3 linked regions of the Cricetulus griseus genome follow. The protein of the gene in region 2 interacts with the protein of the main gene of each other region in a pairwise test. Links are inferred from orthologs where the notes say so. Each region holds a gene or a part of one and is shown on either strand. Other genes may lie near its edges. The genes, in order: Pnrc2, Dcp1a and Rita1.

Region 1 (4,341 bases), on a different chromosome or scaffold from region 2:
GGGATACATAGTATTTTTCTTTTTCAAAAACAAAAAACCAAAAGGTGTCCCTCTTTTTTCTTCCCCGAGCCTTGCTGTCATACTTGAGCCGCATCTTTTTCCTCCCTCGTTTTATTTAGTAAAATAAACAAGGTAAAAAAAAAAATGTAGTAGGGACCGGCCAGCGCTGCTTTTTAGCAGACCCTGATGATGTTGCCTGTTCAGGTCCAGCAGAAAAGCCCAAGTTAGATGAGAGGGGGGCGCGGAAGGAGTGAAGACGGCCGTGTGCAGAAGGGCTGCGGGGCTCGGGGTGGGGAGGCGACCCACTGCAGCCCCGGGGCGGCGAACCACTGAGGGCAGCTGGGCAGGGGCCTGGCCACCGAGGCAGCTGAGTATTTTCTACCCATAAAAAGTGGCTATGTGACCAGCGAGCGCAGCTGGAGGCCGGCGGCCCACGGAGAGCCCCGCAGCAGCGCGGCTCCCGAGGCTGGGCAGTTACTCCCGACATGCTCCTCCCGCAGGATTTCAAACCACCACAACAGCCTGCCCGCACTCGCTCCCCGACCCCAGCAACAGGCGGCGGCCGGCGCCTCATTGGCCGCGACGCGCGGAGCTGCGTCCTCATTGGCCGCCGAGGCGCCGGCCCTCTTCCGCGCTCACAGCGGCCTCCATTTTGTCGGTAAAGGTAGAAGGAGCTGGGTTGAAGACGGAACTGTGGTCTGTGAGTTGCTGGTGGGCAGGTTTGATCGGTGCATCGTTTCTCCCTGGAAAGGGAGGGAGGTTTGGAGGTCGAGAGGGAGTCGCCGCTGCCGCCCGAACTCGAAGTCGGTGAGTGTGGCGGGGGCGGCCATGTTGGCCACCGCGGGCCCCATTGTTGGGCCCCGCTGAAGAGGAAGCAGGGTCGGCAGCGCGGCCCCCTAGCTGAGCCCTGGGGCATCGGCGGCGAGCCCCGGGCTGGGAGTGCGGACCTTGGGACAAAAATATTGGAGGCTTTCTCAGTCTTGTGAGGGTGTATTTGCTAGTTTGACTGTTCACTTTAGGGAGGCTTGCGTGCGTGCGTGCGTGCGTGCTTAAAAATGTCACCATGTTTCGGGACCCGGAGTGTAGAGTCGTAACCTAAAGCGCAATGTACATTGTTGGGAAGAGCATTGGTGTGGAAACGTGTGGGGTTGGAAGCAGAAAATCCGGACTTAACATGGTCCCTAGTTCCTTGGTGTGGTCACAGGAGCGAATGCTTCCTAAGTTTGACTTTAAAATGTAGACATCACCAAGAGTTAAGTGGACGTTTATGAGATCAAAGAAAGTCACGGTTTGATACATCTAGAGGCCTTGAAGTAGCCATTTACTTCTGTAGAAAGTTTAAGCGATCACTTTCTTGGGTTGTTTTCAAGAATTATCTTTCCTTTTCTAGCTAGGACTTCTCTCAAACTTGTGTGCTGAGGAGACTCGATGTTGGCCTCAGCTCCCAGGCTGAAATCAGCAGATTGGCTCATGAAAACTTATGTATTGAGACAAAGAAAAGGATCTAGCAGAAAGCAACATCTCTTATCCTGGGCGTGGCAGCAGGGAAGAGGACACAGAGTGGAAACCCTGCGATCTGAAAAGGAGACTGAAAGGTATCCTATTGAATGATAGATGCACTTCTAACCCATTAAGGACTGTAGCCATGCTTTATCCCTGCCTGCAATCCTAGCACTCAAGAGGCTGGGGAAAACTAAAGTTGGAGGCCGGGCCGGGCGTCGGTGGCGCACACCTTTAATCCCAGCACTCCGGAGGCAGAGGCAGAGGCAGAGGCAGGTGGATTTCTGAGAGCCTGGTCTGAGCGAGTGCCAGGATAGGCTCCAAAGCCACAGAGAAACCCTGTCTTAAAAACCAAAAAAACCTCAGGCCGAGAAGTGGTGGCACACGCCTTTAATCCCAGCACTCGGGAGGCAGAGGTAGGTGGATCTCTGTGAGTTCGAGACCAGCCTGGTCTCCAAGAGCTAGTTCCAGGACAGCCTCCAAAGCCACAGAGAAACCCTGTCTCGAAAACAAAACAAGTTGGAGGCCAGTCTGGTATAAGGCCACCCTGCCTGAAAGGGGCGGTGGTGAATTTAAGTGTGTGGGCCATTTTCTTAGGCTGTACACAGAACGACTAGATCTCGCTAATTTTATTTAGCTTTCACAAAAATAAATTTTTTTTGTTTTTGGTGTTTGATTCAGGACTTGCTTCAATATTTTTGAGGTGAATGCTCTGGTGGGGCAAGTCTGTCTCCTAACAGCTAGCCTTGTTTTCTTTACTAACATTTCTAGAATCGGAGCTATGGAAACTTCAGAAAGGATATGTGGAATTTTACTAGTTTACATTTATTTATTTTCAGGTGACAAAGAAGCTGAAGATGGGTGGTGGAGAGAGGTATAACATTCCAGCCCCCCAATCTAGAAATGTTAGTAAGAACCAACAACAGCACAATAGACAGAAGACCAAGGATCAGAATTCCCAGATGAAGATGGTTCCTAAGAAAAAAGAAAGAGGACACGGGTACAATCCGGCGGCAGCTGCGCGGCAGGCCATGCAGAATGGGGGCAAGAACAAGAGCCTCGCCAACAACCCAAGTTGGAATGCTAGCCTATCAAGCCCAAGCTTGCTTTTTAAGCCTCAAGCTAACCAGAACTATGCCGGAGCCAAATTTAGTGAACCACCATCACCAAGTGTTCTTCCCAAGCCACCAAGCCACTGGGTTCCTGTTTCATTGAACCCTTCAGATAAGGAAACAATGACATTTCAACTTAAAACCCTACTTAAAGTACAGGTTTAAAAATCTTAAGTACTTTTAAATTTTGTGATGTTCACATAGCCATCAGTTGGTTTGACTTTAGGGAAGTTTTATATAAAACTGCTAATTTACAAGTATACTCAAACATTTATGTAGTGTGTGTAGTGTCAGGATAATTTAACTAATTCTACTTGGTAGTCTTGCTAACTAAATTGAAGCTTAGATTTGGGGATCAGTAACCAGCTTTATTGTCTAACAAGAAACCAAACAAAAGACAGTGTTTAGTTAAGATATACAAAGACTGCAAACAAGGTACACAGTTGAGTTACATATTCTAGGGACCCAAACCGTAACATTATAGGCATCTTTGTAAGTAGCTACATATATTTGTGGCAAATGTGTAAAGGCACTTGTAGCTTATTAGAATTAGGTAGATAGCCCCGTGGTCATTTCTTAAATGCAGTCAGTGGATAGGCATTTATGTACCAAATCTCTTTCAAAATATTGACTAGCTTTCAAAGGACACGTTGATAGCATCCTTACAAACCTGCTGAGGTGATCTGGCCTAACTCCTACAAAGCTTGCTTTGCAGGGAGTTGTGTATGTGAAAATTAAAATACCTAGGGAAGAAAAGAGCCATGTAAATACATGTAATCTTGTAACATATGTAAAGTTTTCTGGCCTTTATTCTACAAAAGACTTTTTAGTGTCAATTTGCTGAATGTAAGACCATGAACTTTTTTTTTTAATACTATGGCCTAATTTTAAAGGTCTCCAGTTTTTTTTTTAATTGCCCTTGTGCTTAAGTGCCAGTATATCAATTGTGTTAAATTTTATATCAAAAGGCTTTAAGCTGCTAAGAACATTTCCTGTTTTTAAGGAGATTTTAAGATTCTCTACATCTTTTTAAATCCAAAGATTCATTTTGACTTTATCAAATCCTAGAATGATTAAGTGACCCAGGATTCTTTATGCAAAGTACAAATAGCAAGTTGCTTTTCAGGGCTTATAAGCAAAATCGCCAATTAAGTTCAAAACAAATACTGCCGAAATCAAACATTGAGTATACAAAAGGACAAGTCCATAAAATAATTATGATCTGGTTTTGAATCGCAAAATTCAGAAATAAAACTTCTTTCCTCCCCAGTAGATTGTTTTCATTTTAATGATTTTCGGCTACCTAATCTTGGGATATGACTGTTGGCCTGTGAGGTTACTGCTTTGCTTACTTACTGCTTGTTAAACTGGACCTTCTTTTGAGGCAGGGTCTCTGTAGCATGCTTCCATTAAAGGTGTATGCCGCCATACCCAGCCATATAGTAAACTTACTTTCCCGAATCGCTAATGGTAAAAAAAATGAAACCAATCCTGTGCAACCTTAAAAATGTTGAGTTTAAGACAGTTTAATGGTGGCACATGCCTTTAGTCCCAGCACTCCAGAGACAGAGGCAGGCTGTTCCAGGACAGCCTCCAAAGGCACAGAGAAACCCTGTCTCGAAGGGAAAAAAAAAAAAAAGCTTAATGGAAAATTTCCCCATTCCATGATTATTTACAGAAAATTATCAGGATTTAAACTAGCAAAAATTTTTAAGAGTGTGTAGGCCTA
Region 2 (4,115 bases):
AACGTAGTTTGTTTTTTCAAAAATGTTCAATTACACCAAGGTGTCTTCAATAAAGGAAAATGGTTTTTAAAGCAATTTGGTGAAAATAGGGTAGGCATTTTGTTTTACTTTTTAGTAGTACCTCACTACTTAAGATGCCCAATAAATGTTTGGGGTTTGTTTTGTTTTGTTTCCTCTGTGTAACTGCCCTGGCTGTCCTGGAACTTGCTCTGTAGATCAGGCTAGCCTCGAACTCAGATATCCACCTGTCTCTGCTAAAATTAAAGGCCTGTGCCACCACCTCCCAGTTGCTCTTTGTTTGTTTTTAAAGTGATCTTCGTATTAAATAACGACGTTCTTTAATCTGGAACAATAGAAATATTTACCTGGGACTCGGATGAGAAAAAAATATGAGAAAAGGGCAAAAGAAAAGGAGTCCTGTGTAATTCCAGGCAAGCTAGTTTGGCTGCTTTGAAACATTTCTTTCAAAAATTACCAAATTGTTAACTGAAGGTCTGTAGGTGTAGTCTGAGGTCGGAGGTAAAGTAACATACAGCACACACACACACACACACACACACACACACACACACACACACTTTCTGAGTTTTCTAAACGATCACACACACTCTTTCCGAGTTTAGTTTGGCTGCTTTGAAACATTTCTTTCAAAAATTACCAAATTGTTAACTGAAGGTCTGAAGGTGCAGTCTGAGGTCGGAGGTAACATACTGCACACGCACACGCGCGCGCGCGCACACACACACACACACACACACACACACACACACACACACACACACACACACACACACACACAGTCTGAGGTCGGAGGTAACATACAGCACACACACAGACACACACACACAGACACAGACACACAGTCACACACACATACACTTTCTGAGTTTTCTAAACGGTCCATGGAGACGTCATTTCCACAGCAGCATTTCGATTCTGCGCCTGAACCTGAGACAGCCTCTGCGATGGAGTCCCGCCGGCTGACACAAGCCGGGAGCAGCCGAGAGCAGCCGGGAGTGCTCGTGGAAGGAGCTCGGGTCCCACCAGGTGAGCGAGGACTGGGGGCTACTTCCTCGTCACACGCAGCCGCGGACGCCAGCCAGTACCTTCCGGCAGATGCGGACCTTCGGAGACCGGAACCAGGCTCCCAGGATGTGGGAGTGGCGGAACAGAATAGTTAAAGTACCACCCTCCGCAAGGCCGGGCAGCTAGGCGGAAGTGAAGGACTGACTGAGCTGGGGGAACTTTGCCTGGATTGCACTTTCCTGTTCTCTAGTCCGCCCCCGCCAGAGGGGCTCGGCTCCGGGATTCAAGATGGAGTCGTTGAGTAGAGCAGGGCAAGAGATGAGTCTGGCGGCCTTGAAGCAGCACGACCCCTATATCACCAGCATCGCAGACCTCACGGGCCAGGTCGCTCTGTACACTTTCTGCCCTAAGGCCAACCAGTGGGTGAGTGAGGCCCAGCCGCGAAGGGTGCCAACCTGGCCGCTGCCGCCTCTTAAAGGGGCCGCGCAGGCAGCTTAGGATTGGGGGTGGGGGAGTGAAGCAGGACCGCAAAGGCGAGGCCAGAACCTCTCCTAAAGGCCCGGCCAGAACCAGAGGGGTGACGGGGGCACGCGGAATTGGAGGAAAGAAGCGGGAGAAATATAGCAGGGAAGATCTAATGGAGGGGAGGAATGAGGCAGGATCAGTCCTTTGGGGTCGGTTCTGGGGACTTGAGTAATTTTACTTTTTTACTGGTTGCATTGGAAGGATATGAGACAAGTTAGTTTTTTTTGGGGGGGGGAGGTATTTTTGTGACTGAAATCTGTGTTTCAGACTTTGAGAACTATTAGATAAATTACATGTGTCTAATCACAAAGTCCACCCCTCTCCCCCCAACCTACCTAAATGAGGTGATTTGGATTTGAAGCTTAAAAAATCAGTTTCAAGAGTTAGTCCCGCTTTAATCGAACTACTCTAGAGTTTGGGGAAAGATTTCAAGGCATCTAAGGAAAGGGCACTACGGTAAGAATAGGGTTCCTTGGAGACCTTTTGCAGGGAAAAGAGACCGGTGATACCTAATCTTTGATGGCTCACATCTGAGGACTTTTTAGATTTTGTGAGTGGCGATGGAGTTCCAAAAAGTTACAGTGCCTACTCACTGACTTGTTAGCTTCAACTTAAAGTACCTTTCAGTTGTTTACATGGTTTCCCATTTTCTTGTGCTGACTCTTTCTAATTCATTCAACTGTAAAAGCTTCATGCCTTTAATCTGTAACTGTTGATTGAATAGAATTCATCAATGATAGGCGTTCACCCTTCAACAAGTAATGAGGTCCTTGAACTAACAAAACGCTGAAGGACTGGTCTAACTTTTATTCACTGTGACACTGATACATAGATGTAATTTTGTGGAAGTGTATTGTCATTTATGAAAGTTTACGTCAGAAGAAGTTTCCATAATCATTTTCCTTCTCCTTCTGGAGGGGAAAGGGATGTAGGAAGCCACTGAGAATAAAATTACAAACTGTTTTACTGGTATACCTGTTTTAAACAGTGCCTTAGTTTGAAGTATTTTGTATCATTTTTCTCTGCTTCCTCTATATGTAAATTTGTAACATAAGGGCTGCAGACAATTGGTGAGAATTTGCAAGTAGCATTTATAACTGTTACCTATTTGTAGTTTTTCACAAAGGCTTGCAACACTTGAGGATTTTCACCATGGAGTTGTTTTAAAATGAAATTGAAACCTAAGCTGCTGTTTTTTTGGATCTTGATACATGGTGCATTCACCATCATCTTTTCTTATTTATTAGTGGTGAGTTGTAATTTTGCTCAATGTATTTTGGGAGGCAAGTTTACTTTTACTCTGAGACAACTGGCTGTCATCTTTTTCTGATGAGAGCATTTTTTTTAAAGCAAGAAAAGGCCTCAAGAAGGATAAGTTTCATTGTGATGTAGAAGACATGTACAAGAAACAGATCTTTATTTTTAATTTTTTATCACAACAATTTGTTTGATATAACGTTAAGTTTTGATAATCTTTTGGTTACATTTAAATTATCAAGATCCAGTGTAAGCCAAGAACTACAGACTGACAGGATTTTGGGGTTTTAGAAAAAAATAAAAGCACTCTGCCTGTGCCTAAAACCTGACTATATTCTTGTCAAAACAGATGAAAGAATATTAATGGGTTGTATTTTCTTGTTTTGTTTCTTGTAGTGCAGAAGATCAAACCTAGGGCCTCATGATCCTATTCAAGCACTGTACCTCTACCACTGAGCTATATATATCCAGCCCAAGTTATTTCTTAATCAAATTTTCAAATGTTTATTTTAAAAACCTACCAGAATTGCCTACGTCTGAGAATGAGGTCTATCCATGGATTCTTAACAAAGTGTTTGGTAGTAGTCCTTAACTAACCACAAAATTTGTTACTAATGAAAATATTCCTAAATTCTCCAGAGGTGAAACAAAGTATATAAGAAAATTTCCTGAGAGTTAGGGATTTGGCTCAGTGGTATACAGCTTTACATCATCAGCCCCAGACCCTGAGTTCAGCCCTGGTATCAGTTTACTTTCTTTTTCTATTAACTTTGATAGACTGTTAAAGTTTGGTCAGGTTTTTTTGTTTGTTTTTGAAGTTGCAACACAAAATACTTCAACATTAAGATACCTTGTTGAAAGGTTTTAGGTTTGGCAAAGTTAAAGCTGGGACTGGAAAGATGGTTCCTCGGTAGCTAAGAGCACTGGCTGCTCTTCAGAAGACCTGGGTTCAGTTCTCAGCACCCACATGGTGGCTCACATCCATCTGTAACTCCAGTTCCAAGGGATCCAATGCCCTCTTGTGCCCTCTGTGAGTTTCCAGCACACATGTTGCGTAGACGTGTGTACTGGCAAACATGTATGTTTGGTTTTTTAGTTTTTAAAAAAGTTAATGCATAAAAATAAAAAGTAAAGCTAATTCTGGTATTTTGTTTTTTAGTGGTCCTTAAGGTTTAAAATAGAAAAATGCTACAGATGTAGACATGTTGAATTGAACATTGATTACAATTATATAAACACCTATAGAGTTGAATGGATACACAATTTGTAAAAGAACCTGAGGTGCCCACCATAAAAAGCCAGGTGTA
Region 3 (2,607 bases), on a different chromosome or scaffold from region 2:
TTAGTGTGTCACCCCAGGTCACTGCATCCTTCCCTTTCCTAGGTTGATTGGCCACACCCCATCCTTCTGTGATGAGTCATTGTTTGGCTCCCGGCCACAGGGCCTCAGCAAGGAGGGGTCTCGGACAGCCGTGGGGGATGCTGCCAAGCTCTGGACCCTTTTCTGGACTCCACCAGCCACCCCTAGGGGTGGCCACTCACCTCACCCCAGGGAGACCCCACTTCGAGCCATTCACCCCGTTGGACCCACCAGGACAGAGCCCAGCATGACCAGGGGCTCCCAGAAGACACCCCAGGAGGGGTTGGATGCTCCCCACTCTCTGGAGCAGAGGCGTTCCCATTCAGTCACCCACCTGAGTGTCCCCAGCATGGGTCATCTAGATGCCAGTGTCCCCCAGACCAATGGACCTTGGAGTCCCCGGCCTTCCACATCAAGGATGACTGTCCAGAGTCCCCTGGTCACTTCCAAGGCACAGTCAGGCAGTGTTTCAGGACCAGCTGCCCTACAACGAGGGACCGGCCCCCTCAAGCCAAAGCCTCCTTGGAAGTGAGACTCTCACCAGGTAAGCCTTTGGCTCACAGCAAGGACTCAGCTCAGGTGGGGCCCTCTGGGGACCAGGGCCCCCAAGCACTGGAGATGCCTCCATGGTGAAGATGGGTCATACTTTCCTTTGTCCCCACAAGCTCAGGATGTCCCTAGCACTCTCTGCAGGGTTTTTGGAGGTCCTAGAGATGTCTCTCTGGCCATTTCTCAGCCTCTTTGTGCATGGGTGCCAAATCCCACCAGCTCCCTGCTCAGGATTCAGTTTCTACAGGGGTCTGGGGGCCTTAAAGGAGTTTCCTGGGCTGTGTATGGACCCCAAGGGTGGAAAATGAGGAGACATTATTTTAATATTCATGTATTTATTCCAGGTATTAAATGTATTTAGCTCATCAAAACCCAGTGGTGTGTTACCTTTTCCCCCTTAAGTAAAGGCCTCTGAGGATTTAAATAGTACAGTTAAACAGAACCGTGGGTGATTTGTTCATGTGGCAGAAATGACTGGCTGCTGAGGTCTGAGGACATAGACCTCAGGTAATGCTTAGTCTACCCCAATCCTGTCTCTGTCCTGTGATTCCATACATGAGTAGGTGGGTAGTTCTTGCCAGCTCAGGACATAGTAAGAGTCCTTTGCTAGCAATTGTCTTGTTGCGGGGGGCAGGATGTATCTCAGTGGTAGAGTGTTTACCTAACATACATGAATGGGGCCCTGGGATCAATGCCCAGCAACCTCTGCCCCTAACAAAACAGAGCAGGACTTAGTGATGAGCCAGGTGGAAAAGGCAGGCAGGGACAGGCATCTGCAGAGCCCTAGGCCTGGGCTGCTAGGTGCTGCCCTCCCTTGCACTGCAGTTGGGGCCCTGGATCACAGAGCTTCACTCAGGTCCTACATCCTTCCCTGGATGATGACAATGGGGTCCTGAGCCTCTCCTGGTCCCCCTCCCTCCATGAGCATTTCATGGATTCCATTGGGCGACTCACCATCGTCTAGGTATAGCCTGGCCCAGGGACATGTGTGTACAGAGGTCAGACAGCCATATCTGGGCACAGACACACTGCACTTTAGCCACATAGGATGTTTAAGCTTCTAGAACTTGTACAAAGGATTGGTTAGTCTACCTCCTTTTTCTCTATCCCTTCCCTGTTGATAGACACAGGCTAGAAATAGAAGCACACATTCTTCTCCTGCCTATACTAAAGGTCAGCTGGAGCCCAGGGTGATGCCACCAGGTAGTTGATACCAGGCCTGGAGTGTGGTTAATACCAGGCTGTGGTGTCAGAGCAGCTGGGGGTGATAGAACGGGCGCAGCCTGATGGGAACAACAAAAGGTAGAGGGAGGGGCACTAGAGAGATGACCCAGCAGTTAAGAGTGCACACTGCTCTTCCAGAGGACCTCGGTTTGGTTCCCAGCACCCACATCAGGTGGCTCATAACTGCCAGTAATTCCAGTTCTGGGAATTACTGACCTCTGCAGGCATCAGGCATGCATGTGATGTATACACACACACACACACCTTTTAAGAAAAGGAGAGTAGCCAGGCCGTGCTTGTGCACACCTTTAATTCCAGCACTCGGGAGGCAGAGGCCAAGGCTACACAAAGAAACCCGGTCTCAAGAAGAAAGGAAGGAAGGAAGGAAGGAAGGAAGGAAGGAAGGAAGGAAGGAAGAAAGGAAGGAAGAATGAGTGAATTGGGGACTGAAGGGTTAAGAGAACTTAACTGCTCTGTCAGAGGTCCTAAGTTCAGATATCACCCTCTTCAAGTGGCTCACAAACATCTGTAACTCTAGTTCCAATGAATTTTGCAGCCAGCTATGGACTCCATGGGTACACCCACATAAATAAAATAACCCTTTTGTTGTTTTGTTGTTTTTGAGACAGGGTTTCCCCATGTAGCTCTGGCTGTCCTGGCACTCACTCTGTAGACCAGGCTGGCCTGAACTCAGAGATCACCTGCCTCAGCCTCCCACATAGCGTGCACCACCACCGCCCCCACCATCCCCCTTGACCATCCTTTGTTTCTTTAGTTTTGTTGTTTTGTTTTGAAGTGGAGGAAGCCAAAGAGGTG

What was found.
Region 1: the proteins of Dcp1a (region 2) and Pnrc2 interact in binary tests that used the Homo sapiens proteins (3 or more experiments, as listed by UniProt). The link is inferred for Cricetulus griseus from reciprocal best matches to the Homo sapiens genes DCP1A and PNRC2.
Region 3: the proteins of Dcp1a (region 2) and Rita1 interact in binary tests that used the Homo sapiens proteins (3 or more experiments, as listed by UniProt). The two-hybrid records come from large-scale screens. The link is inferred for Cricetulus griseus from reciprocal best matches to the Homo sapiens genes DCP1A and RITA1.

What each region holds. Positions count from the first base shown.
Region 1 is NC_048595.1:17,424,340-17,428,680, forward strand, and holds Pnrc2 (proline-rich nuclear receptor coactivator 2), read left to right. Parts: upstream 1-1,456; 5' UTR 1,457-1,595; intron 1,596-2,339; 5' UTR 2,340-2,357; coding exon 2,358-2,777; 3' UTR 2,778-3,884; downstream 3,885-4,341. UniProt on the Homo sapiens protein: Involved in nonsense-mediated mRNA decay (NMD) by acting as a bridge between the mRNA decapping complex and the NMD machinery. May act by targeting the NMD machinery to the P-body and recruiting the decapping machinery to aberrant mRNAs.
Region 2 is NW_023276807.1:189,261,146-189,265,260, reverse strand, and holds the start of Dcp1a (mRNA-decapping enzyme 1A), read left to right. Parts: upstream 1-1,232; 5' UTR 1,233-1,314; coding exon 1,315-1,449; intron 1,450-4,115. UniProt on the Homo sapiens protein: Necessary for the degradation of mRNAs, both in normal mRNA turnover and in nonsense-mediated mRNA decay. Removes the 7-methyl guanine cap structure from mRNA molecules, yielding a 5'-phosphorylated mRNA fragment and 7m-GDP.
Region 3 is NC_048597.1:100,419,634-100,422,240, reverse strand, and holds part of Rita1 (RBPJ-interacting and tubulin-associated protein 1), read left to right. Parts: intron 1-42; coding exon 43-550; 3' UTR 551-562; intron 563-2,607. UniProt on the Homo sapiens protein: Tubulin-binding protein that acts as a negative regulator of Notch signaling pathway.